Nothobranchius furzeri: one gene and its partners. The protein of the gene in region 2 interacts with the protein of the main gene of each other region in a pairwise test. Links are inferred from orthologs where the notes say so. Each region holds a gene or a part of one and is shown on either strand. Other genes may lie near its edges. The genes, in order: neuronal migration protein doublecortin, rint1, protein FAM110A, txlna, rbm41, lmo2 and c8h19orf25.

Region 1 (4,270 bases), on a different chromosome or scaffold from region 2:
CTGAAAAAATGAGAAAAAGGCAAAGATCTTCAAACCAAATCTCAATGAACACGAGACTAGAGGCCTTTTGTGGTGGATACATCCAAATAAATGATCACATTAAACGTGTGTACGTAGCGAGCAGCCCGCAATTCCACCTACAAGCATCTGTTAACAGCTGTCTCACCAGATGCAACAAAGAAAACCAGCTAAATGAAAAACGACCTTCCTAGAAAGGACTTGGAAAAACTGAAAGGAATAAATCTTGAATGAGAACTCAAACTTTAAAAGGTAAACTAGATTAAGTTGACCCTTAAGTCAACACCTTATTTATGTGAATGGGTTGGGGGTTTTGCCTCGTTTCACTTGGATAAACTCTTCACAAATCAGAAAAATAACGCATTAGCTAATTTATGTAAAACAAATTCTACATTTTATCCTGATTCATGACAGCTTCGTCAGAGGCAGATCTTTTAAGGTAGCGCGACTCGGGTTGCGAAAGACCACGGTCACCAATTCTAGAATAGTGTGTACTGAAACTCTAATTTCCCTCTGGGATTAATTAAGTATCTTTGAATTGAATTGAATTTTGCAGATGAATCAGAGTTTAAATATTTAGTGCTTTTTTTCTGAGAGGCTATTTTAAAAGCAATTTTCCTAAAATCAAATCAAATAATTTTTTTAAAACAACAACTTTAACTTCTAAAGACTTTTCTGAAACACCTGTGAGTTTTTTTAACAAGTTTTAATGAGGTTTGCTCAACAGCTGATATCTGATAGAACTGAGCATTTTACATTTAGAGCTTCTCCTCTGATCATTTCCATAAGCGACAGAAAGAAGCGTGTGCCGATTTAAATCAGAGACGGTTTATCGGTCCTAAAAACAAATGATGCGCCTGTTGGGTCTCTTAACCTACCTGCAGACGAGGACGATTGGTGCACCTTTTTTCCTCAGATAAAACCTCTGACGACCGCAGCCTGGTAACAAACACTGCTATGCAGATTTGATGGTGAGCACAGGTGCACAACCGTCAAATACCACACCCACATTAAAGAGGAACTCAGCTGTGCACAGATTAAAGCTCTGTTCCACTGATGCCATCACTTAACTCATCAAAACACCTCCACAATGAAATCATCCCGCAGGTCTCCTCTGGTCGTTGGGCCAACACAACTGGTTTCTGCTGAAGTCTATTCAGATGTTTGCCTTTCAGTAACTTAATTAGTTTTGATGATGTTGGGAGTGGATTTGCATCGAGAAGGTTCTAGTTTTAGAAGACTGCATTTAAAAACAATTTTAAAATTAATCAGAAAGAATATTTCACACACATGTTTTAATCAAATTACATATTCAGATTTTTCGGCCTGTTTATTTTAGGATTTAAGTTGATGGACGCAACCTGAGGGCCACAGCCTGCCCGTTCAGAGGTTTCTCTGATCACACACACCCGATCTGAATCGATGCCCAACAGGCTAGCTTGAGAACTTGATGAAGAGGCAGGTGTGTTGGAGCAGGAACACGTGTGCTAACGCATGCAGGATAGCTTCCTTTATGGATCAAGAGAGACATTTCTTCTTAAATATTCAAACAGAAACATTTAAGTGATCAACCTAAAGTTTAATATTTACTTTTATTTTCTAATGCTGCTTTGCACCACTGACATGGATCCTTTAACTCCTCATAGAAAAAGTCTTTAAACAAGTAAAAGACTGATGTTTATAACCCACCTCATTAAAACGCACCAGACAACCTATAAGCAGACAGCTTTCTCTAGAGGACAGTGCTGACAGACAGGGGGATACACGTGGTCACCACCCACCCATGTGGAGGACGCTCCACTCATGCTACCCTCATGGCTGAGCTGCTGACTGGTTTTTTTTTATGATCCCAGAACACTGACAGGGGTGGGACTTTTGTGATGCTCCTCAGCTGACAAAGGCCAGGTTTCAGGCCCATCTGCTGCACTAATAGCCATGGCTAACCGTGACCCTTCCCCAGTGGAGCATCAACTAGGACAGTCCATTGTCTCCAACAGGGAGCCTGGTTTCACGGTGACATCACTGCTACTGCAGCAGCAGCCGGCTCAGACTCCAGCTCAGGTTCATCAAGTGCATCCTCACACCAGCACATCTCAGCCTCTCTCATCATGATAAGGTTTTCAAAAATGCACAGAGGGTTTCTTATTGGTTCCGATTGGGTCAGTTCCTCAGACAAAATTCACAGAGTGCCACCAAACGAATCTCAGACTGGCCATTAGGCAGCATTGCAGTAACTCTGCGTGGTGTCATTGATATTTTTGGCTGGTTCTGTGTTCCTGGCTGAGCCTCCCACACAACACTTCAGTCGGCGCGCGCGCGCACACACACACTCTTCTGACAAACCAGCACGTTCTGCCTCGTGCATCTGCATGCTTTAGCTGAATAAATATAGTTTACCACACTGAAAATAAAAGTTTCTCTGATTTATGATGATAGGAGCGACCACATGGCAGAAAGCTTCCATTTGACTTCTCAGAATAAAAAAAAGGAGGGACTGGGTGTGCGCACACCTCCAGCCCAACTAAAGTCACCTCATGCAGACCTAATTAACCATAAGTACCAACTCCCTGGTCCACATACTATCACTTAAACTCGGTTCTAACAGTAGACAGGAGCTCAAACAGGCAGAAGCGGACTCACCTGCGTCGCAGCTCCCGGAGTGAAGGGAGTGTGTGTGATTGTGTGCGTGTGTGTGTGTGTGTGCGGGGAGGGGAGTGTAAGTGTGTGTGATTCGATGCTGCTGGATAGCTGCACGCCGTCTCTCCTCTCTCTGCCTTTGTCTGCTTCAGTCTGAGAGCCGAGCATGTGCCTGGCTTCCTGCAGGAGCCACTGGGTCCTAAAGAGCGCTGGACCCGCCCACCAAGGGGAGAAAGGTGCAAGTCCACGTGGGGTGGAGCTGACAGGTGTCAGTGGCAGTGGCGTGTCCAGATCTTTTAAAATGGGGTGGCCCAGGTCAGGCACAACTTTGTGCATGGGTGGCACCATTGGTTATGCTTTTTTGTTTCACCCCCAAACCTTTAGTGGAAATTGAAAAGCCTATTTAAAGGTAAATTAGTGTGGTAGCACCTGGGGTGGCCAATCAGATTCCAAGGGTGGCATGTGCTACCTCTGGCCACTCCCTGGCCACGCCCCTGGTCAGTGGAAGGACAGGCCTGGAGGAGGCTGAAACTTCCTCCACCTGAAAGGGACTCTGCACACGGGTGGCGACAAACGACCGCGATCAGCGAAATTTGTCGCTGTCGCTTTTATTACCTGACACACGGGAGGTGACCCGCGGCAGCGGCCAGTGGCACAGCCGTCTACGCGTTCTGTTCCATGGCGAAATCGAAACGTCCATTGTTTTGTTTGGCTGTGTCAGGTTGGAGGGAATTAAGGTTATTTAAGCGGTTCAGAGTTAAAAAGGCAGTAGATATGATGTTTCACAAGGTGCTGCTAGAGTTATGTGAAATCTTACTTCTGATTTTACTATGTAAAACATAATAATAATCAACTTCTCCTTCATGTTCGCTCGGAGATGTACGGAGCATCCTGTCCGTTCATTGGTCAGTGAATGAAACCTTCGTTGATTGGTCCTCGTCCGAGCGACAGCGACGAAAAGTTGGAAATATTTCAACTTTCTGGGATGGTAAAAGCTAAATGGCCTGTATTTCATATAGCGCCTTCTAGAGTCCTGGAACCCCTCAAGGCGCTTTACAACACAATCAGTCATTCACCCATTCACACACACATTCACACACGGATCCACTTCCTTGCTCGTGTCGCTGGGTCGCCTGTGCACGACACATGCAGGAGCGCAAAATTTCACACGCACGGTTTTCGCGTTTCGCTTAGTAGGAGGGAGACCCGCGATTATCGCTTTGTCGCACATGTCTCATTGAAAATGAATGGAGAGGCGATGTCGCCTCCTGTGTGCAGAGCCCCAAAGGCATTATAGACAACTGAAGTCTCTTTTTTGTGTAAAACTAATAAATAAATCAAATCATACCTATTTCAGAGATACATCCCTGAATGGCACCAGTTTAGAGAAATAGCTTTTACATCCTCCAGGACCACCGCAGATGTAGTCAGGTAGGAGCTGAAGTCAAAAAGACCCACAGCACCCTCTAGTGACCAGTTCCAGTGCAAGTTTTAAGTCCCTCCGTGTGAACAATGGGATGTTTTTCCTTTTTAAAACTGAAAATAAATTTCCAATGTCTTTAGAAGTATTTAGTGATTAAAGCCTTTAAAAACACAGTGGTTAAGAACAAGGGTG
Region 2 (2,843 bases):
TCCAAATTTAACCAGTCAGAAAAAAAATATTTTTTGCACTTGAAAAATTATTGGGAGTAAACACTTTGACTATATTGACAAAATATTTATTTCAATAATTTAATTTCCTAATTATTTCCCAATTTATTCAAACTTTTAATGATTCAGTGACAGTCTTTTATGAAACTCCAAAAAACAATGTTGACACAGCTTAGCTCATGCATTACTGGAATATGAGTTAATGTTGCACATGGACAAACAATTCAAAATCAGAAAATGTGCATATTTAGTTTATTATGATTGCTCAGTCCCTTTCTGTGTAAGAAAACTGGGACAGTTTTAATTGTAGTTTTTTTGAATTTTCAGTAAAAATGAAAAAATTATCTGTGTTGCTGCTTCTACGCTAGGTTGTGTCTGTCAGCATTAGTGAACACAGGACTATCTCCACTCTAACATTTGTTATGATGAATTATTTCTACATGTGCATCATCTGATGAAAACAGAATCATCTAACAGACAGCTTAGAGTAATAGGATTTTATTCATGTTCTGACTGTAAAACCATCAGCTACACGAGGAACATGTCAGGACACATGAAGACAGTCACACACCACTAAAATGTAATGCTGCTACAGAGCAGTTATTAGATTTCTGGTAGAGAGGCTCTGAGGTTGAGGAGAATAAGCACGTCACATGGTGACAAACAGTAAACTCCCAACTCATTCAGGGTGGACTCTGGTGGAGAATCCTTAGGACCTTCCCAGTCTTTGTTATCCTGGTCTGACTGTTTCAGGACGGACTTCAATAGAACTGCAGAACCCACGCTTAGACACAAGATGATGCAAGCCTCCTTCACACTGCAGACACACAGAGCAGAGGTACAAATCAGAAATAAAGGTCACCTTTTGATTACATCCTTCATGATAGCAAGGGTGACGTTTTTAAAATGATACTACATGTTATAGAGGATGATGCTGAAGGAGGTTGTGGTGGACCATCAGGTGGACACCGTTTCTACCTTTTGGTGAAACCTTTGTTAGATTTTCTGAAATGGGTCAAGTAAGAAGTTCATTCACTTTATTCACCACCGATACAAGAAAATGATTCTTTAAAATTAGGGCTGCACGATATTAGAAAAGCCTGCGATATGCGATAATATTGATTAATATTGCGATGACGATATTATTAGTGATAAATAAAAACTTAATTCAGGAACAAAAATAATAAAAAACAAAGAAATAAAAAAAAGGATTAAATAAATCATAAAAATAAGAAAAGCAAAAGATGTGAGGAAATGGAAAAAGAAAATGAACAAGAAAAGGTAATCAGTGGATCCCGGAAAAAGCAGAATCAGCAGAAAGACCAGAACAAAGCTAACTCAGGTGTTTGCTAACCATCAAAATTAAGTGTCGGGGCGGGCATCTAACCTATGAGAACCCACCTAATTGGCCAAATGGGTAAAGAGCTCATTTTGATTTGTTAAAAAAACATCATGCTTACGTCTGATTGACAGAATGCATTATGTGTAGCAAACATTTGAGCTGACCATTCATTGCGATATGCATATTGTACATGCTGATATCGTGATAACGATATATTTGTGATATATCGTGCAACCCTATTTAAAATGGAACTGTTCAGTGTTTTTCCATCCGTAAAACGTACAGAGAGCTGTTTGGCCTTAAGGATTAACGTCTCCTGTTCCAGCGTGTGAAACTGGATGAGTCAGACCATGTTTAGGTTTTGTCACAGACAAATGGGCTTCAGCCCGGACCTCCACTAGCTTCAGTCTGAATGTCTCCAGGCTACAGCTTGGACCCGATTCAGAGACATTACAGGTGTTTCTGCAAAAGGCCACCTGAACAGGTTTTACATCATCAACCTGCTGTTGAACACTTACTGTTTAAAGAAGTTCTCTGGTCTTCTGCAGTGGTGACCAAACAGAGGAAACAAGTTTCTGCTCATGTCAAACTGAAGCTGAGCTGCTCCACCGTCACTGAAGTGGTTCGACAAGATCACCTGACAGAAACACAAATATACGACAGGTCAGATGTTTGGAAGCAAATCCTTCAACAGAAGATGCCGAGGAGCTACAATGATGGTGTTGGATGGTGTTTGTTTGGGAAGTTGGAACGTCCGTTCTGAACCTACCCCTTTTTTCAGAAACCTGGGTCAACCCCCAGAAAGCCTCTCATGTAGGATGATCAGTCTAAAGACACTCTAGTGCTAGAACCGCAGTTGGTGCTTGATCCAGTTCTACAAAAACTGGGTCTCCACAACCAGAGCGCCAACTCAGAGGCCCGGCATCAGATCACACAAAACACGTCTCAGTAAAAGTTTGATCCTCCCTTCGTTCTTTTGGTCTCATGATTACAGGTGAGGGTTTGAATGTCCACAGGTCAGTTAATGAAGAGCTTCGCCTTTTCACTCAGGTTTTTCTTTACCCCGACAAATCAGAGAAGACAAAGCCGCCGTCATCCATGACCCTCATACGACACGCTGGGATGCCTGAACTCTTCTCTATAAGGTGGACTTATTGTTATCCCAGAGGAAGCGCTTCGCCCTTTTTGGGTGGAGAACCACCCCCGTGCATGCAGAAGTAGATCATCTGAAAAGATGATGACACAGATGAGACCATGAGGTTTCCAGCCAAAACCAACCCCTCCCAGACATCCAGCTCATCCACCCACACATCTAGTCTCTCAGCTAGCTGAGTGCTAATCTGGACTTCATTCTGTTGAAGATGACCCAGTAACCTCTTTTAACGGCCTTCCTTGGACACCAGAGGGGAATTCAAAGCACAGGAATAATTATCTGATCTAAGCTGATCAAAATTTGCTGCTTCTGGATCAAATGAGACTCTCA
Region 3 (4,066 bases), on a different chromosome or scaffold from region 2:
TAGAATAGAGTGAATTTTATTAGTCCCACAGCGGGGACATCCACTCATTACAGCAGCACACACACTTATAGACGCAGATTACAGTAAAACTGATACCAGCCATGTTTGCTTTGATAACTTCAATAATTTCACGCTGATGAACACATGAACATAATCCTGTTTAGTGGATGCAAATACAACATGAAGTTAGCTTAACATGATAGATGTTTTTTCTTGGAAGGAAATAATAACTGGTAATATTATGAATGACATGATATCCCCCCCCCCCCCCCCCCCCGGAATTACAATTAAAACATTTACATTAATTATAATTAAAAGTTCCATTTGTGACATGTAGCTGTAACTCTACTGCAGATATAGATAGATAGATAGATGGATGGATAGATGATAGATAGATAGATAGATGGATGGATAGACAGATAGATAGATAGATAGATGGATGGATAGACAGATAGATAGATGATAGATAGATAGATAGATAGATGGATGGATGGATGGATGGATGGATAGATGGATGGATAGATGATAGATAGATAGATAGATGGATGGATAGATAGATGGATGGATAGATGATAGATAATATGAAGAAGTTCAGGAGAGTTGGATGTTGAATTGTCCTCACGAAAAGAAAATTTGTATTAAACAAAGGTCAGTTCCCTCTAAAGTCAGAGGTATGGAGGATTAGGGCCACTGAAAAGAAAAGAAAGAGAATTTGGACTTTTTTCCCTGAATTCCCTGTCAGAATTCTGAGATTAAAAGTCAGAATCTGAGAAAAATGTAAGAATTCTCTTTCTTTTCTTTTTTCTTTCTTGTCAGTGGCTCTAATCCTCTTCCATACAGAGTAGAAATAATACCCCCCCCCCCCCCCAAATGGCCAGCGACTTGTCCGCTCCCAACCCCATGACCCCGTCTCACTGTTTGAAATGTTCAAAAGTTGGCAGCCCTGTTCTGTTCCGTCTGAGGTAAAACTAACATTCACCCTGAAGGAGAACACCTGACCTTTGACCCTAATTCGTTTGGACTGGTGTGTCTCACCCTCTTCAGAAACGAGACTGAATGTTGTCTATTCGGGCTTCCTGAGACAAGACAAAAAAGGGTCAAAGAAAAGAAATACGCATTAGTAATCAGATTACAGAACGAGACCGGAAGCGTGACCTTTGGGAAGGATCCCAATCATTCAGCTTGCTGATAGGGCAAAAACAAAGAGAGCGTCACGTGGCCAGAGAGCTTCGGCTTGCTTCCTTGAAGGAACCTGATTGGTCCAATCATCCAAAGGGGCGGAGCTTCGAGCAGCACGCGAGTTGTCAGACAGGTTTGTCTTCTCGGCTTGAGCTGTTTAGAGGTTTCAGACAGTCTCGCTTTTGTCCTCACAAACTCCTCAGGAGCTCCTCCAACCACTCAGGTGAGAGCCCGGTAGGGCGAAGAGTAGAAGTAGGAGCAGGAGATAAGTTTAAACGGTTATTTAGAAGGTTCCGCACGCGCCTTGAGTTAGCTACCTGTTGTTTACCTGTCAGCGTTTCCGTGTTAGTCAGAAACTCCAGGAGCCCGCTCCTGGTGGTCAGGGCCGCCTCCTGAGGTTCCCCCCTGCCTCCAACCCTCCCAGGAACACACTGGTTGTTGCTTTTGTTCTGGAGGCCTGCAGACCTGAAGGCAGGTGAGGTGACGTCCCACGGCTCGGTCCGCAGGAGCCCGGGCCCGGCTCAGACAGGAATGGGAGCTATGTGCAGAATTTTCCTGGCAGACGGCTCGGGAGGCCTCCCGGAAGTTTCAGCCTCTCCAGTTTGTTTTTGTTTTCATGGATCCCAAATGAGGCGTGTGTGTGTGTGTGTGTGTGTGTGTGTGTGTGTGTGTGTGTGTGTGTCTGACAGCTGGTCCTCTGATTCACCCCATCACCCTCCTCACGGTCCCTCCTAGCTGCAGACCAAGTGTCAGTCTCATTGTGTGCCAAAAGATGGATGACTGAGGAATTGTTCTAATCCGACTTGCGCCGCCAGCCAATGGACTTGGAAGTCTGGGGGAGTACGTGGGAAGCCATTGGCTGGGAGAGTAAATAAGTGGGCGTTGGGGTTTCGGGTCTTTTGTGCCGTGAGCAGTCCTTTCTGCTCCCCTGACTGATGTTTGTTGTCCACAGGGAGCCCAGATGTCCAGGCTGAGCTGCTGAGATGGCATGAGGATGACGACCGAGATTAAATCCAGGTTTTATAATCTAAGGTAGCTGAAGGACAACTGGAGCTGACACCATGCCTGTGGAGACGATGCAGCAGCCTCCACGGCAGCCAGTGAGGGCTGCCGTCGGGGTTTCCCCTCCGCGTCTACGACCCAAGGGACCAGATTTCTGCAGGAGAATCGCAGCAGGAGCACCAAAGCAGAGTGCCGTAGAAAGACTGGAGGCCGACAAGGCCAAATACGTCAAGAGTCAGGTGGCTCTTTCCAGAACGCAGCCAGTCGGGCCTCCTGAGGTGAAAAGGCCTCTGCTGAACCCCAACACACCCCTGCGCCCCACCAGAAAGCCCAACCTCCAGACTGGTACGAAACCAGAGGGCGTCCAGCTTGACCTGGAGCACCTTAGTCACCTCATCAGTGATCTCCCAGTTGGGCCAACGCCTAACTCAGCGTCCCAGTCAGAGGACTGTAAGGCTCCTGGTGGTGCTGTGACTGCACACGGTTCCCTGTTCAAAGCTCAGCCGATGACGGACAAGCCACGCCCCCCTCCACGTCCCCTTCTGCGTCCCGACTGCTCCAGTCCAGCTAAAGTCAGACAAAAGGTACCTGCAGCTGCCGGGACAGAGAGTCCAGGTTCTCCTGGGGCTCCGGCTGCAGGAACCGTACGCAGAGTGGACGTCATGCCTCAGTTTGGCCCTGTGAGGACGGCCTCCAGACCCCCCCAGTTCATACGGCAGCCCCTCCAACCCAGACCTCTGATTTCCCACGTACTGCTGCGCTCAGCGTCGTCGCACCAGCGCGTCTCCCAGCCAAAAGCTGCTCCGGGTTCTTCTCCCTTGAAACCACTTGTTGCTCCAGTAAAACCCGACCACTCTAACCCACCTCCCGCTGACGCTCCTGCACCACTGCCCCCCACCCTCCCCGATTTCCCACTTCCTCCCCCCTCTCCAGCCATCACCCGTTTGTCATCCTCCAGCTCCAGAAAGCGTCCGTCATTGACTCGGTCCAAGTCCGACATGAGTGACCGGTACTCCCGGGCCGGGACGGAGCTGGAGCGCTTCTTCAACCTGTGCGGTCTGGACCCGTCGGACCTGCGTGAGCTGGCTGCTTCCAGCTCCGACATCGTGTCCCTCGCTCGCTTTCACAGCGTCAGCGCTCCGGGATCGGAGTGTGGAGGCTCGAACAGAGGGGTCAAAGAGGAAGAGGAGGAGGAGGAAGATGCCGGGAAAGCTGCAGACCGCGTTCCCTATGGGATTTCTGTGATTGAGAGGAACGCCAGAGTGATCAAGTGGCTCTATGGGCTAGGGCAAGCCAAGGACGACACAACCAAGAACACTAATTTATAGATGGACCGTCTGAGTTTTATTATGAAAGGGAAACTCGTTTCCTCTTTCAGAGTAAAAGTGGCTGCCCAGGTTGTTGAGTAAACCGGTGAAAGGCTGAATGTGAAGAGTCATCACCGTTGGCTGTGGTGATGATTTCCGCCCACCATGTTTCAGCGTGCGCGGATCGTCCTGTTGATAAAAATTACATTAAAGAATTCACTCAAGCTCTTTGTTTGGTCCTCAGTCATCACCTCAAACATAAAACAACGCACTCAGCATCAGCAGGTGTGTTTTAGGACACCTGAGACCAGGGGCGTGTCCAGGGGGTGGCCTGGGGTAGCACATGCCACCCTTGGAATCTAATTGGCCACCCCAGGTGCCACCACACTAATTTACCTTCAAAAAGGCTTTTCATTGTCCACAAAAGGCTTGGGGGTAAAACAAAAAAAAGCATAACCATTGGTGCCACCCATGCACAAAGTTGTGCCTCACCTGGGCCACCCCATTTTAAAAGATCTGGACACGCCACTGCCTGAGACCCACACGAACGGGAACTTCGAGTTTTAGGCGTCTCTTGA
Region 4 (4,235 bases), on a different chromosome or scaffold from region 2:
CAGAGTCTGCACACATTCAGGTACTCAATGACATCCTGATTCTGACTGACTCTGGCTCCCATGTGCGGTTACTCTTACTCGACCTGACCGCAGCATCCTACTTCACAGACTCCAATTTTGGGTGGGTGTGACCGGTACTGCCCTGGAATGGTTTAAGTCGTACCTTAATGGTCGGTGTTTTAGTGTTCATGTTAGAGACTGCTCTTCTCCCAATGTCCCACTTCCATGGGGAGTACCACAGGGCTCCATCCTGGGTCCTCTCCTCTTTTCAATTTACATACTAGCACTTGGTAAGATTTTAGCAAGTCTCGTCGGGGTTAACTACCACTTTTATGCAGATGATTGCCAGATCTACCTTCAAATCAACCAACAGCACTCATTTTCTATAATGTCAGAATGCCTCTCCCAGGTCAGATCCTGGCTTTCTCAAAACTGCCTACGGTTAAATGACAGCAAATCAGATGCCATACTTTTTAGCCCCACTAACATGAATGGTGCTTTAGATGTCTCAACTCTCCCACTCAATCTCAAATCAGGTGCCACTAGCCTAGGTGTGACACTGGACTCTGACCTTTCAATGTCTTCACAAGTCAACGCTACTGTCAAGTCCTGCTTTTTCCAACTCCGCCGCATCACTCGTCTTAAGTCAATCCTCAAACGCCCGCATCTTGAGTCAGTCATTCATGCTTTCATTACTTCACGTCTGGATTACGCAAATTCTGTCCTGATTGGGATTAATGCTTCAGCCTTAAGCAAACTGCAGAAGGTTCAAAATGCCGCGGCCAGATTTTTAACCAACACCGACAGACGCATGCACATCACACCCATCCTCGCAGATTTACACTGGCTCCCAGTCTAATTTAGGATTAACTTCAAGGTCCTGTTATATGTTTACAAGGCTTTGTACTGCCCATCCCCATCCTATCTGATGGACCTGCTGACCCCATATGTTCCCACCCGTGCCCTTCGGTCAGCAGATCATCTGCTGCTTGTTGTTCCGAAGGTTTGGTACAAATCACGGGGGGAGCGTGCCTTCTCTTATTCAGCCCAAAACTCTGGAACTCCCTGCCCCTCCGTGTGCGTCTGGCTCCCTCTGTTAGCAGTTTCAAGTCGGCCCTGAAAACGCACTTCTTTAGCATTGCCTTGCCTCCGTGACACTTTTCATGACAATCTAGCACCGGATTTGAGTTTTTAATTCCATTTTTATGATTTAGTTGCTCACTTTTGGCACCTCGCACCATCTGGTATTTTATTTCGGTTTATTTGGGACATTTCAAATGTTTTTATTATTCGTCGCATTATTTTATTTTTATAGTGCTGTTAACTGTTCTATTTTATGGTTTTTAGTAGGAATTTTTATCTCCGACTATTTATGCTTTGTTCTTATGTTTTTTGCCTGTTCTTATTGTGGTTCTTGGTCAAGCATTTGGCTTTTTTTATGTACAGCACTTTGGTTAGCTGCCATGCTATTTTGAAATGGTGCTTTATAAATAAATAAATATGGTATGGTATGGTATGTGTCCCACACAGTCACGCGGAAAACTGTTGGGATTCATTTGTTTATGATGTGCCTTCTAAAAGGAATCGCACTTGAGGCATTAAAACAATTATCACAATATCATCAAGGACGTGATGGCCTACTTTTATTTAAATGTTGAAGTAAGTTTGTTCTTGACACAACGTTACAGTAATGAGAAAATACCCCAAAACTAATTTATTATGGATCTCTTAACCTTAAAAACTCTTGTTTATTAAACTGTGTGATTGTGTTTAATGACATCAGTGCATAAAATAACTTGTCGGCAGCATCAGGACATATAACAATAAAAATGACATAATCTAGATATGTATGGATTGAGTACACGTGAAGAATGAAGACCATTTTATTGTACAAGTAAAGCTTTGATTGCATCAATAAAAGTTTGACTTCTAGTATGTTAATCTTGAAACCAGATGACATCAGGTATTACTGACAAGATTCTCCACTTCAGTCTGATGACAACCAAACCATTAATTAGGTTTGTGCTGTTTCATCTAATTTGTTCTAAAACTGAGAATTCACACAGTGTGACGGACGAGTAAGAAAGTCAAACCAAAGGCAGTTCACCTCCGCTTTCCCCCTGCTGTTCCTGTGGTGGAGGGCCAGCCTGTGGCTCCATCTCTCTGGGGCTGCTGCCTTCAGCAGGTGCAGGTGGAAGTGGAGCGTCCGTGTCTCCAGCTGCAGGTGGAGGAGCCTCGCTGCCCGGGCTGGTAGACTCTTCCGTGTCTTGATTTTTCATGTTTAGCTCTTTGAATAAAAGACGAAACTAACGCTGAGTCTAAATAAGGCTTTGACAATAAAATACACCAACTGTTCAGACGATAAAGTTCTTTAAAATCACGCATAAAATCGAAAATATTAGCACGTTTCTGGATACATAGACATGGCGTTTATGTACAAAACGGAAAACAAATGTGTACTTTCACTTCGGACCATTTTCAGTTTCCATTAGCTTCCAGATTACATTAGCTGGCACAGGCTAGCCCTCGTTAGCAGTTACGCACGCAGCTAAAATTGTCTTGAACTACTTTCACCCAACCGGTGTTACTTTGTACCATAAAAGAAAAAACAGAAAACTACTAAAGCTATGGCGACGCGAAACGTTACCTCATTCCCCTGACTCTACGGTTAACACAGACTTGTTTACCTGAAGACTCCAGGAGGAAACGGCTAATTTTTCTGAGCTGCAGGTTTCTTGAACAGCGTGTAGCTGACTGGCTTAGAAAAAAAAAACAACTTCCGGTCATAACTTTGATTCTTCTTCTTTGACTTTTCAATGGTGGTTTCAAATGGTGATATGGTGCATTACCGCCACCAACTTCTTTCTGCTATGTAAAAAAAAATACTAGCAAGAAAGTGATAAAACTGGTAAAAACCAATTAAACATTTATTGTCATTGCAGAACAGCTGTCTTGTAAATTAGTAAGACTATGGTTTACATGTGGCCTATGCTAATATAAAATTTAAGGTTTAATAATAGTAAACAGCAAGTTCACCTACTAACAAAAATGCATTTTATTTAGAAAAAATTACAGCAAGTGTTTGTACTAACTACTGAAATTTTATAAATGTAGTTCCCTCTTCCTCCCTGGGCTGCCACCTTACCGTGGTGGAGGGGTTTGAGTGTCCCAATGATCCTAGGAGCTAAATGAGGCTTTATGCCTCTGGTAGGGTTACCCATGGCAAACAGGTCCTAGGTGAGGGATCGGACAAAGAGCAGCCCAAAGACCTCTTATGATGAATAAAATAAATGGAAACCGTGTTCCCTCGCCCGGACGTGGGTCACTGGGGCCCCCCTCTGGAGCCAAGCCTAGAGGTGGGCCACGTAGGCGAGCGCCTGCTGGCCGGGTTTTCACCCATGGAGCCCGGCCGGGCACAGCCCGATGAGGAAACGTGGGTTCCCCTTCCCATGGGCTCACCACTCGTGGGAGGGGCCAAAGGGGTCAGGTGCAGTGTGTGACGGGTGGCAGACGAGGGCTGGGACCTTGGCGGTCTGATCCCCGGCTACAGAAGCTGGCTCTTGGCACAAGGAATGTCACCTCTGGTGGGGAAGGAGCCTGAGTTGGTGTGTGAGGTTGAGAGATTCCGACTAGCTATAGTCTGACTCACCTCAACGTATGGCTCTGGCTCTGGAACCAGTTTCCTTGAGAGGGGCTGGGCACTCTACCACTCTGGAGTTGCTCCCACTGAGAGGCGCCGAGCAGGGGTGGGCATACTAGTTGCCCCCATCTTGGTGCCTGTACGTTGGGGTTTACCCCGGTGACTGAGAGGGTAGCCTCCCTCCGCCTACGTGTGGGGGGACGGGTTCTGACTGTGGTCTGTGCTTATGCACCAAACTACAGTTTAGACTACCCACCCTTTTTGGAGACCTTGGAGGGGGTGCTGGAGAGTGCTCCTTCCGGTGACTCCCTCGTTCTGCTGGGGGACTTTAACGCTCATGTGGGCAACGACAGTGAGACCTGGAGAGGTGTGGTTGGGAGGAACAGCCCCCCTGATCTGAATTCGAGTGGTGTTTTGTTATTAGACTTCTGTGGATTGTCCATAATGAACACCATGTTCAGACATAAAGGTGTCCATATGTGCTCTTGGCACAGGATACCTTAGGCCGCAGCTCGATGATCGACTTTGTTGTTGTTTCATCTGACTCGGGTGAAGAGAGGGGCCGAGCTGTCTACTGACCACTACCTGGTGGTGA
Region 5 (3,339 bases), on a different chromosome or scaffold from region 2:
GTGTGTACGATTCAGCTCTCAGAGATCACCGTGATCAACATGTTGTTAATAATTCTTGAGGAGAAATAGCTCGCACTGTCGGAAAAGACGAGGACGCTGTTTAAAATGCTGGAATGCCATGTTGTAAACAACAGTCATTTCTACTTCTACTATGGTGTAGTGTTGGAAGCATGCTGTAGAGCTCCATGCTGCCCCCTACAGTTTGGGAGAATATTGGCTCACTGCAGAGACAAGCCGCATGAACCATAAACGCTGCAAGTTGTGAAGCGCGTTCCATCCACGAGCCGCATCACCAAGCAGAAAGTGAATGCGTCAAGCATAAACCAAGCTTTAGCCTGGTGCTGCACAACCAGTAGGCTTTGATCATTGGACCTCAGGGACCTGCTGGGGGTGTAGGGACTGAGATGATCAACAATGTAAAATGGTGCTTGTCCATGTAAGGCCCTATAGTTCAGAACCAGGATGTGCCGGCTTGTTTACATACACGAGAGACACGAGCGTTCCTTTTACTGATGTTTAATGCGGTCTTGCATCTTCTTTATCTTTACACCACATGAACACTGTATAACTGATGAAAAAGCATAAATCATGTACAAATTAACAAGTTATTTGCCTTAAGTTTGCTAACATACAGTTTTTAAATAAAGAATAAACAAACCACTTTGGCCTGCTAGTAGACAAAACGGTAGACTTGAAAACATTTAACTTAACTTCTTCTCAAATGTTCTTAAATGGCACAAATTGTCCGTGCGCATCAATAAAATCTCAGAAGCTATGAGACAGGAAGTGACGTCACAGCACTCTTAAACACACCTTATCAAAATAAACAAATTCAAAATTACTCAAATACAAAAAATTATTAACTCTGTGCACCTGTAAATGCTACGAAATGTATTGAAAACATGAAAAATAATACTTTAAATAAACTTTCTAGGGCATTAACAAAATCACAGTGCCATCTTGTGGTGAATATTTGAACAAAAAAGTTGCTTCAACTGTATTTACACAGGATCCTGAAATGAACCCTGAAGTTGACTGGCAGCCAGTGAAGCTGGAGGAGAAGCGGGGTGATGTGGGTGTGTTTGGAGGACTTGGTCAGAAGCCGAGCACAGGCGTTCTGAACCACCTGTAGACGGTTCAGGGAGGTTCTGCTCAGACACGTGAAAAGAGAGTTACAGTAGTCTAAGCGTGAGGAGATGAGGGTGTGGAGAACTGTCTCAAGTTCAGAGTGGGACAGAATGGGACTCAGCTTAGCAACGTTCCTGAGATGGAAGAAGGAAGAGCGAACAAGAGAACTTTTAGAGAAATTCAAACGAATGGACATTAGTGCAAAATAAACAAGGTATAAAAGCTCGAAACATTTGACGGCAAATGTATTAACAACAAAATCCTCCTTATTAGTTTGCTTCGTTTCACCAGATTATGACATCTAGTTTTATTTTTTTGTAAACCACAAACGCACCCGTGTGGACTTCAGCTGCAGGATGACGTCTATCAGTTAGCACAACCAAAGCAGCCATGTCTGAGTTCATTCTGGGTGTAGACGTGGGCAGCAGCAGTAACAGCCCAGTCCAAAGCTTTGGCTGCGAGTTCGACTCCCCCTACAGCTGCTGATATAAACAACAACAGCAGCATAGAGGCGAGACACTCGCACAACACTCCACTTTACCGTGAACGCTTCTTTGACGCTCAGGTGTGTGCAGGCGAAACAGCAGGATGCAGGTGTCATGTCCTGTGTCCCCGCCTCCACAGTCCCTTCCACATTTCCTTCTTCTTTGTGGCGTTATGGCGGCTATGAAGCAACGTTGAGGCGCGTTGCCGCCACCTACTGATCAGGAGTGTGGACTGGCACTTCTAACTCGCTAAAGCCTGCTCCCCGCTCCTGTGCTTCCTTGCAACGTTCCACACCGCTCCAATGCACTTGTCCACGTTTTCTCCCTCCTCCCAGGTGTCCTCGTGTTCGCTGTCCCTTCAGATTCTGGTTATTTCTCAACTACTTCCATTCTCACACTCTACTGAATTGACCCACGTGACTGTCAGGTTGATGTGTGAGTGTGTGTGTGTGTGCTTGTTTGTGTGTCTCTGCCATGGGCTGGCATCTGTCCAGGGTGTACCCTGTTTGACCGGAGACTGCTGGAGATGGGTGTCAGCCCCCCCCCGCCCGCGACCCTGTGTGGATAAGCGGGTTTAGATGATGGATGGATGGATACTTCAGTGATGTGAATCATTTGAACCCGATTAAGAGTGACATCTGCTGGCCAGACTTCAGCACAGCATCAGCACCGTCTCTTTCCACGCTTCCTTCTCCTTGTTTTTCCACTTCCTGACGTTCATGTCCAAACTCAACCACCAAAGGCTTCCCTAGCAACCGGTATCCATGGACCAACTGTAATGCATTCTGGGCCGTTTCTGCGTCTGTCGAAAAAGAAACCGCCGAGGTTACATTCATTTAATTATCAAAGTAAACAGGATCACTTGTTTCCTCGTTTAAATGTTTTAGTTCTCAAGTTTTAAGTCACGTGGATTAAAAACTTGAATTTTTACGTTTAAAAGAACTTCATTTAGATCCGTTTCTGTGGTCGTTACGTTTTACCTTTGAGAACCACGTCCTCACCTGGCAGCGTGATGAAAGCCTGACCCTTCATCCTTCCTGTCAGCAGCCGGTAAAGCACCGGAGCCTCGCTCTTCCGCTCAAATCTGGAGAACAGCGCCACCAGCTGGGCTACGGACGCCTGCCGGCTCAAGTTCTTCACACACAGAACCTGTGAGAGGAGGTGGATCAGGTTTAGGTTCATACAGCTGAAACACACAGGTTAGGTAACAAACTGCTGGAACCTTGGAAGGTTTTCCTGGACGGTAGTTCCTGAACCTCGGGATGCTCAGGATCTCCTCCTCGGGTGCGCGGCTGTTCAGGATTTCTTCCTCTGGAATCATTTCGATCTCCCCGCTGATGGCGAGCTGTGCTCCTGACCTTGCCCCTGCCGCTCCACACAGGCGCCCGATTGGCTGGTTTAGATTTATCGGTACTAGTCGCTGCGGCTGTAACTTGTTCTCGTCCTGCTGCTCTGAGGCGTCTCGCTGCAGATCCGACTGATGGTGAGAAGACTCTGTAGGTTGTAGACTGCTGGAGTTCTGGGAGCTTTGTGATTGGACGGTTTCAGAGCTGCATGTTGGTCCTGTTTGTTTCTGACAGGTGAGGATGTCTCTGTAGAGAGGACCCATGGGGTCAGAGGAGGACGCCTCCTGCTGTCCATCTACATCGTCTTCATCTGGAACAGAAACTAAAACTTTTCTTTCATATTTCTCCACCTCCTACCAACAATCTATCAGCTGACACTA
Region 6 (4,024 bases), on a different chromosome or scaffold from region 2:
AGATTTGTTGTTTCGACTCATAATATAATATTCAAACAAAGTTATTATTTATGATATTTGTAAAACTTGACATATAGAGTTGAAAGTTTTCATTTAAGTTGACATGACTCAAGTTTTTAAGGCAGCTGTTGAACTTTCGTTTTTAAGTTATTCTGTCCTACAATTTATTACAGTGTACAGTTTGCTTCTGATCTTCATGCACTGTTTCTGACTGCTGGAACTAAAGCGCTTTATCTGTCCTCACAGTCCAACTGATGTGTGTGTCCCTCCCTCTTTTACCCTGCAGCTCTGGCACTAGATAAGACATGTCCACTGGCGCTTTGGTTTGAAAAGGAAAGTGTGCCAAAAACGACAAGAAATACATTTTATTATAGGGGTAAAAGATTAGTATATATATTTTTTTAATAAATCATATTTTTCATTCTAGAACGTTCTATAGTCATTCTAGACTCGTTAAGCTTTGCTGGCAAATTTCTGAAGAGAAAAATGTAAAAATCAGAACTTTAAATTTCACACATTATCTTTGAAGGGTAATGTTCCTCTTCACAGCGTCTGCGTAAATGTACGAGGTGTGCACATTATTTAAATTTGAACATTACATTTCCTTATTTAAAGCAGAAATTCAGCACATCTGTTTAATGTTGAGGAATGTGGCACAAAAATGCAGCACAAGCTCAATTTGAGATGATTCTAAATTTTCTTTATTCATTTATTTGCAAAACAGCAGGCCACATATTCTAGAACAAAACATAAGAATATATTTTTATTTGCCTTTGACATGAACAGTTTAGATGTTTTACTTGCATTAATTACAGACAAAGCAAAGGAAGACATGATGGGCAGATAAAACTACCAGCAGGTGTTTTTATCAGCTCAGCTCCTGCAGCAGATGGACTCATTAGTCAGTCACGACCATCACGACCCTCTGCACGACTCACAGACCAGCAGCTCTGCTGTCGCTTTAAGACCCGTTTCCCCTCATTGTGAAGCGCTGAAACAGGAAGAGAGAAGCGAAAGCAAAGCCCGAAGGGCCCCAATGTATTTAAACGCGCTGCTGCTGCAGCTGCTGGCCACTCGGACACGCACTACTTCCTCCCCGCAGAACCCTCCTTATCGAACCGCACTGGCGCGGTTCTTCTAGTCGCTGTGGGACCTGCAAGGCATGGAAGTGTTGCTGCCTCAGGAAATGATGACAGCGTCCTCCTCCATCGGCGTCTAGCTGATTAGAGAGGGAGCTGTTCTTGTTCTGCATCTGTTGGAAACAAGGGAGCTGCTTCTTGAGTTCGCTTTTTATTTCCAGCGATCTGAAAGTGGTTTTTACCAGGGGTGCAGGTGCAGCGCGCCTTCCAGTATCCAGATCAGGCTCGAGAATGACTTCTACCATAGAGAGGAAAACACTGGAAGCAAACGAGTAAGTCAACTAAAATAAACACATTCTATCAGAAAACTATCCCACGTGCAAGACGATGAGATCAGATGTTTCTGCTTATAATATTCATAAAGAAAATTTAAGGAAAAATTAAAGAAACGGATGTAAGGTAAAACTAAACTAAACTACATGTTTAGAGTCAGATGTTGCAGCCATAATGGGAACAGGAGTTGTAACATAAGTGTATTAAGGCACACTGTAAAGGCGTTGGACCAAGGTTGAAACTCGCTTTACACTGGGAATGCTGGCCAGAGCATTACTTAAAGCCCCTCAGAATATAAAGAAGATGAGTCATAATTGTAGTTGTGCGCCTGGCTTCTTTATTATAGCCCATAGGTTAGGACAAGTAAATCAGGATAGCAGTTGATAGACATGATAGCTCATGGGTGTGGTTTTCCTGCAGAATGACAAATATGACGTATGTATAACTTAACCTTATTAAACAATTAACACACATCAGAATATTAACCTTCCGCCACCACATCATCAGTTAATAACCATACTAAACAGTCAGAGGTCACTAAATCATCATCATCTGCTCACATAAAGCCACTATATTAAGGTTTGTCAAGTTAACCTTGACGTCGTCGGTCAACTTCCGGTCTGTAAACAAAAGAGTGCTTTTATTTTCCCGACTGGGTACTTCCGGTGGCGGGTTAGCTTAGCTCAGATACTCTGAACCAACTCCCATTCCCGCACTGTAACAACACCGCTGTACTTCTCTACATTCCCGTATACTCATACAAAGCACATTCATGCCTCCTCGTACGACACCAGCAGACCAGCGCCGATCGGTCCCGAGGGAAGGTATATCAACAGCGTTTTCACAGGGACAGGAAATGCATAATAATTAACTCGATAGCCATAATCAGTCCAACATTGCACTTACTGTTCATCCACGCACACACTCGACCATGTCCCGGTGCTATCCCCCAGGCAGCAACATATCGCAGAGAGGAACCCGGGACACAAACTAGAGCTACGTAAACCTCGAGAGATATGAACCTAAAGCCATTTTATCTCTATCTCTAGCTGGACTTCTGGAGCAGACTTCCGGCCAACTACAAAATAAGCGTAACAAAGGGAATGTTTTCCCAAAATGCAAGACTTTGAGGGCTTTTCTACAATAAGCCAAGATCAAAAATCCATTCATTTTTGTCTGCTTATCTTGGGTCAGGTCATGGGGGGTAGCAGCCCAACTAGAAAGTCCCAGACTTCCCTTTCTCCTGCCATTTGGGCCAGCTCTTCATGAGGAAGCCCAAGGTGTTTCCTGGCCAGACGAGAAACATAGTCCCTCCAGCGTGTCTTGGGTCTTCCTGTCTTGTAGTTGGATTTACCCAGAAAGCCTCACCAGGGAGGTGTCCAGGAGGCATCCTAACTAGATGCCTGAGCCACATCAACTGGATCCTCTTGATGTAGAGAAGCAGCGGATCTACTCCAAGCCCCTCCTGGATGACCGAGCTGCTCACCCCATCTCTAAAGACACCCTGCAGAGAAAACTAAATTCGGCTGCATGTATTCACAATCTCATACCCAGAGCTAGTGACCATAGGTGAGGGTTGGAACATAGATTGACCGGTAAATTGAGACGCTCAGCTTCCGGCTCAGCTCTCTCTTCACCACAACAGACCAGTACAACGCCCACGTCACAGCAGACGCAGCACCAGTCCACCTATTGATCTTGTCCTCCATCTTTCCCTCACTCATGAACAAGACCCTGAGACATGTAAACTCCTCCACTTTAAGCAGGACCTTGTCCCTGACCTGGAGAAGGCATTTACCTTTTTCCGGCTGAAGATCAACTGTTAAAAGATAGAAAAGAAATATTAAATATTACTTGCATATTTTAAAATAAATGTTTCAAAAGTTCTGGAAAAACATCTTCGTTGTTTGATCCGATCAAGTGTTTCAAGAATCCTTTTCACATTTTTAGTAGTAGCAACATATTATTTTTCATTTTTTTAAAGAAAATTCCTAAACAATATTCCTGATAGGTGTGTATGAGTCATATCTTACATCCTTTACTAACTCAGGACCAGTGGTGCTGCAAGATTGTCATGGGGTTCCAAGCAAACACTGCAGACTGGAAAGTGTGCTGCAGTTTATTTGAGCGTGGGAGTGGGGGGTGCACAGACAGAAATGTGTGGCAGAGCAGTGAGGGGGAGGAGGAGTGCCCTGTTGGGTAGTGTGAGACAGCCCAAGTTATGTCAAATTACAGCTTTTCACAGTCCCATAGAGCTCCGGGAGTTGACGTCACATCTCCCGGCATGCAACAGTTCAAATCGAAACGGCGCCATATTGGCATGCAGAAGCCGGCAGCTGGACTATTTGTTATTGTCAGAAAATTCAATCAAACGGGAAATATGGTAGATTCCTGTTGTGCCCCAGGATGCAGAACAGACGCGGACGACATAAGGAATGAGTCATCTACAGGATTCCCCAAGTTCCGGAGCGCCGCAAACGTTGGATCATTGTAATAAAACACGTTAGTGACCGGGATAAAATGAAGCTGTGGGATCCCGAGAGTAAAGGTTTTCGCTTATGCAGCGACCGCTTCATATCAGGTACTTAAACAACGTGTCCTCAACTGTGTAT
Region 7 (3,278 bases), on a different chromosome or scaffold from region 2:
GAAGGCTGGAGAAGATCAGAGAAGAGAACCTGCCGCCCACGAGCAGAGAGGTCCACGAGTTCCTGCTGGATCTGACAGACTGACCCGGATTCATGCGTGTTTACCGGGATGATAAACACGAAGGAAACAGACGAATAAAGTCTAAATTAAGGTTTTGTGTTAATAAAATTATCTTTAATACATTTTAATTTTTTCTGCTACTTATTGGAACTCATTTATTTATTTATTTAGTTCACAAAAGTAAAATATTCTGATTAAAAATAAAATATTTGAAATGTTGCTTCTGTCAGTTACTGGAGTAAAATGAGAAAGAATCCACTCAACATTTAGAGATTTAAAAAATCTCAATTAACTGATTTTAACCTTTTGCCCCCCCCCCCCCCCCCCCCCCCCCGGTCTTTTTTATTCTGGTTTTTACTTTCTTCTGACTGATCATGAACTTTGTGATCGATTGCTCTGGTCTACAGTGTGCTGTCCTGACGACAGACCGGTACAACGCCCAATAAATTATTAGCAAAAATCAGAATTAAGAAATAAACACAATGAAATGAACCGGTTCCAACGTTGTTTGAACCAATTTTTACGGCTAAACGAAACTAAAATTAATCGACTCTTTCGGTTCCCAAACGGCTCCTCACATTTTTTGTGCCTGAGCCACCTCAGCTGGTTCCTCTCGGCATAGTTTTTAAACTAATTTATCACCAGAAATCATGTAAAATCCATCTGTCCATTTTCATCCGCTTATCCGGAGTTGGGTCGCGGGGGCAGCTTCTACTAGCTGAGACGTTCTCTGCTGTTTCCTGGACTCTAAACCAACAGCAGCCTTCCCCGTCGTTAGCCAAGATGGGTGAGCCCATGAATGTTAGTGACAGTGTCACGTAGATCTGCCAGGCTTTCCTAGAGATTCCCCGTCAGTTTTCTATCAGAAGCTAATAAAGGAGATAGATGTAGGAGACTATTTTCATGTTCAGCCTGCATGAAACACTCAGAGTGCCTGATTATCAGAAATAATAATTAAAACATGTTTTTCGGTGTTCAACACCTTTAACAATACAGTCTCTGAACAAATAAACATTAACGTGTATTACATAATATACAAGTACTACATGTAGCAAAATCACATGACTTTTTTATTACTTTATTTTTTTTAATATAAAACAAATCACGGTACAAAAACATAAAAACACGCTCTGCCGACGTGGCTTGTGACGTTTTGACGTAGGCTGTTAATGAACTTCCGGTTTGGATGTTAAAAGAACGTCCGGGTCGTTTTGGCTGCTCGTCGTTCATAAACTACAGAAACGTTTGTTTCCCATGAGCAGTCCGGTTTAAGTCGTTGCCGACGGGCTGAGAGCAGACACATCAGAAGGTTTCCTCCGTGAAGAATCAACTCTGGTAAACTTTAGAGAACGCTTCCGCGCCGCGCGAGCTGCGCGAGCAGCAGCCCGAGTTTCATACAAAAAACGTCTAAATTAAACAAAAATCGGCTGCCAGCTAATGTTACTTCCGTCACTAACGTCATTTTTACCTCATAACAATTGTTGGGTTGTTCTGAAATGTTCGGCTTGAAATGTTCCCGCTAGACTAATAAATCCGTTATTTTCCTACGAATATTGTTGCATTTTAAGCTAATTCTGGTGTATCACCGCTAACAGTTAAATTTGGGTGTTGATGGTTTTTGTTTATGCCGAATTGGTAAAATAAAAAAAATCGTATTTCGTGTATTTAAATGTAAGACACGTGACCTTTTCCTCAATCATCAGCGTGAACTGTGTTTTAGGTGGATTTGTCGTCTAAGATGAACATTGGCTCTAAGAATAAGAAACGTGTGGTTCTGCTCAGCCGCCCAGAACTTCCTAATGTGGACCAGATCCTGGAGGACATCAGCAAGGCTGCTCCTGATGATCCGGTCTTCAACGTCCTGGAGAAAACTGGGAAAGGCGAGTCCACATAGATGACCTTATAACAAACACGGTTATCTTCTTAGTTTAAATCAAAACTTGTCTTGTTCTGTTTAACACTTCACAATAAAAGCCCATTTCTGTTTTGATGTTCAGCATCTTGGTTACATCATGTTTAAGAAAAACGAGCAAAACAGTTTTTAAGATGGCCAAGAATGATATTCTTTATAAAATCAGGGATGCTTGTGTTTCATGGCCTTGCTCCATCATTCTGGATTCTGGTTGTTGAGCTTTGGTCTCATCTGCTCTCTGCAGAATGGTCCCTCCTTGCAGACAGTGAGGTGGAGCACCGGTTCCTGCAGTGTCGCCGGTACCTGGAGCTGAATGAGCGGCTGCGGGAGGCTCAAGGCCAGCTCCAGCGGCAGTGGGAAGAGCTACTGGCTGTGGGAGAGCAGCTGGACAGAAAAGTGGAAGAGATCAAAGGTCAACTTCTCTGACTCTACACCATTTCTGCTTGGGACACTTTCTCTGAACTCTGACTGGTCCAAGTGCCTTTGAGCCAGACAGCAGTGGCGCCACAGTGCTGGATGAGTTTTGAACTCTCAAATGGGCCGGGCTCTGCCGACCTCGTATCTGCCTCGCAGTAAAAGCTGCAGAAAGTCTTCTTTTGAAAGGATAACAGCCGTTTGGCTCACAGTGAAGGAAACGCAACGATGAGTCACATGAAAAGTAAATCTGAGAAGAAAGGAGAGTAAATCAGGAGAAACGGACAGAAATGAACAAATGCACAACTTTAATGTTTGTAATAAAAGTAAGTTCATCTGGAAAAGCAAAGCTGACCGGGGAAAAGTAAATATTAAAATGATCGTAAGCATTTTATTTTTGTCGTTTCTTCTCCGTACACAGAAATATTTAAAGTTTTCTAAATACATGAAATATTTTTAAAATGATTTGATTGTTATAAAAGGTTGTAAAAACAAGAGCAAACAGATGGAAAGCATTTTTAAAATAATGCCCAAACAAACAAAATCAAGACTAAAAGGTTAACATTTAAAGGACCACTTACCAACATTAAAACACCGGGTTACCCAAACAGAAGGTGTTTTAAAAAACACACGTTGATATTAAAAATCGACGCACTAAGAAAACACCCGAGTGTTTTAAAATCCCAAAGTCGGCAAACTACGATGTTAACCTTAAAACAGAGTCAACATCAAACAAAGATTCATTTGGATCACTCAGAGTTAAAACTATTAAAGTTAAAACTCATCAAAACGAAGGTGTTGAAACCAAAACGAGGCCTGGAGGACAGCAGAACCCTGCAGCCTTTTACCCCGGGTGTGGGTCATCAGGAGGATTCAGCTCAGCTGGGCTCCT

The links.
Region 1: the proteins of rint1 (region 2) and neuronal migration protein doublecortin interact in binary tests that used the Homo sapiens proteins (3 or more experiments, as listed by UniProt). The two-hybrid records come from large-scale screens. The link is inferred for Nothobranchius furzeri from reciprocal best matches to the Homo sapiens genes RINT1 and DCX.
Region 3: the proteins of rint1 (region 2) and protein FAM110A interact in binary tests that used the Homo sapiens proteins (3 or more experiments, as listed by UniProt). The two-hybrid records come from large-scale screens. The link is inferred for Nothobranchius furzeri from reciprocal best matches to the Homo sapiens genes RINT1 and FAM110A.
Region 4: the proteins of rint1 (region 2) and txlna interact in binary tests that used the Homo sapiens proteins (3 or more experiments, as listed by UniProt). The two-hybrid records come from large-scale screens. The link is inferred for Nothobranchius furzeri from reciprocal best matches to the Homo sapiens genes RINT1 and TXLNA.
Region 5: the proteins of rint1 (region 2) and rbm41 interact in binary tests that used the Homo sapiens proteins (3 or more experiments, as listed by UniProt). The two-hybrid records come from large-scale screens. The link is inferred for Nothobranchius furzeri from reciprocal best matches to the Homo sapiens genes RINT1 and RBM41.
Region 6: the proteins of rint1 (region 2) and lmo2 interact in binary tests that used the Homo sapiens proteins (3 or more experiments, as listed by UniProt). The two-hybrid records come from large-scale screens. The link is inferred for Nothobranchius furzeri from reciprocal best matches to the Homo sapiens genes RINT1 and LMO2.
Region 7: the proteins of rint1 (region 2) and c8h19orf25 interact in binary tests that used the Homo sapiens proteins (3 or more experiments, as listed by UniProt). The link is inferred for Nothobranchius furzeri from reciprocal best matches to the Homo sapiens genes RINT1 and C19orf25.

Annotation. Positions count from the first base shown.
Region 1 is NC_091750.1:46,841,016-46,845,285, forward strand, and holds the start of neuronal migration protein doublecortin, read right to left. Parts: upstream 2,801-4,270; 5' UTR 2,659-2,800; intron 999-2,658; exon of another isoform or gene 897-998; intron 1-896. UniProt on the Homo sapiens protein: Microtubule-associated protein required for initial steps of neuronal dispersion and cortex lamination during cerebral cortex development. May act by competing with the putative neuronal protein kinase DCLK1 in binding to a target protein.
Region 2 is NC_091741.1:64,260,970-64,263,812, forward strand, and holds the end of rint1 (RAD50-interacting protein 1), read right to left. Parts: intron 1,998-2,843; coding exon 1,879-1,997; intron 836-1,878; coding exon 622-835; 3' UTR 501-621; downstream 1-500. UniProt on the Homo sapiens protein: Involved in regulation of membrane traffic between the Golgi and the endoplasmic reticulum (ER); the function is proposed to depend on its association in the NRZ complex which is believed to play a role in SNARE assembly at the ER.
Region 3 is NC_091755.1:41,859,566-41,863,631, reverse strand, and holds protein FAM110A, read left to right. Parts: upstream 1-1,266; 5' UTR 1,267-1,402; intron 1,403-2,131; 5' UTR 2,132-2,240; coding exon 2,241-3,509; 3' UTR 3,510-3,712; downstream 3,713-4,066.
Region 4 is NC_091751.1:3,230,716-3,234,950, reverse strand, and holds the start of txlna (alpha-taxilin), read right to left. Parts: upstream 2,801-4,235; 5' UTR 2,788-2,800; coding exon 2,688-2,787; intron 2,288-2,687; coding exon 2,108-2,287; intron 1-2,107. UniProt on the Homo sapiens protein: May be involved in intracellular vesicle traffic and potentially in calcium-dependent exocytosis in neuroendocrine cells.
Region 5 is NC_091750.1:69,603,267-69,606,605, forward strand, and holds the end of rbm41 (RNA-binding protein 41), read right to left. Parts: intron 3,282-3,339; coding exon 2,836-3,281; intron 2,763-2,835; coding exon 2,615-2,762; intron 2,416-2,614; coding exon 2,225-2,415; 3' UTR 501-2,224; downstream 1-500. UniProt on the Homo sapiens protein: May bind RNA.
Region 6 is NC_091744.1:61,983,211-61,987,234, forward strand, and holds the start of lmo2 (rhombotin-2), read left to right. Parts: upstream 1-1,224; 5' UTR 1,225-1,370; coding exon 1,371-1,411; intron 1,412-4,024. UniProt on the Homo sapiens protein: Acts with TAL1/SCL to regulate red blood cell development. Also acts with LDB1 to maintain erythroid precursors in an immature state.
Region 7 is NC_091748.1:78,709,091-78,712,368, forward strand, and holds c8h19orf25 (UPF0449 protein C19orf25 homolog), read left to right. Parts: upstream 1-1,207; 5' UTR 1,208-1,395; intron 1,396-1,780; 5' UTR 1,781-1,798; coding exon 1,799-1,940; intron 1,941-2,216; coding exon 2,217-2,398; 3' UTR 2,399-2,778; downstream 2,779-3,278. Other genes in the region: interferon-induced protein with tetratricopeptide repeats 1, read left to right, coding at 1-83.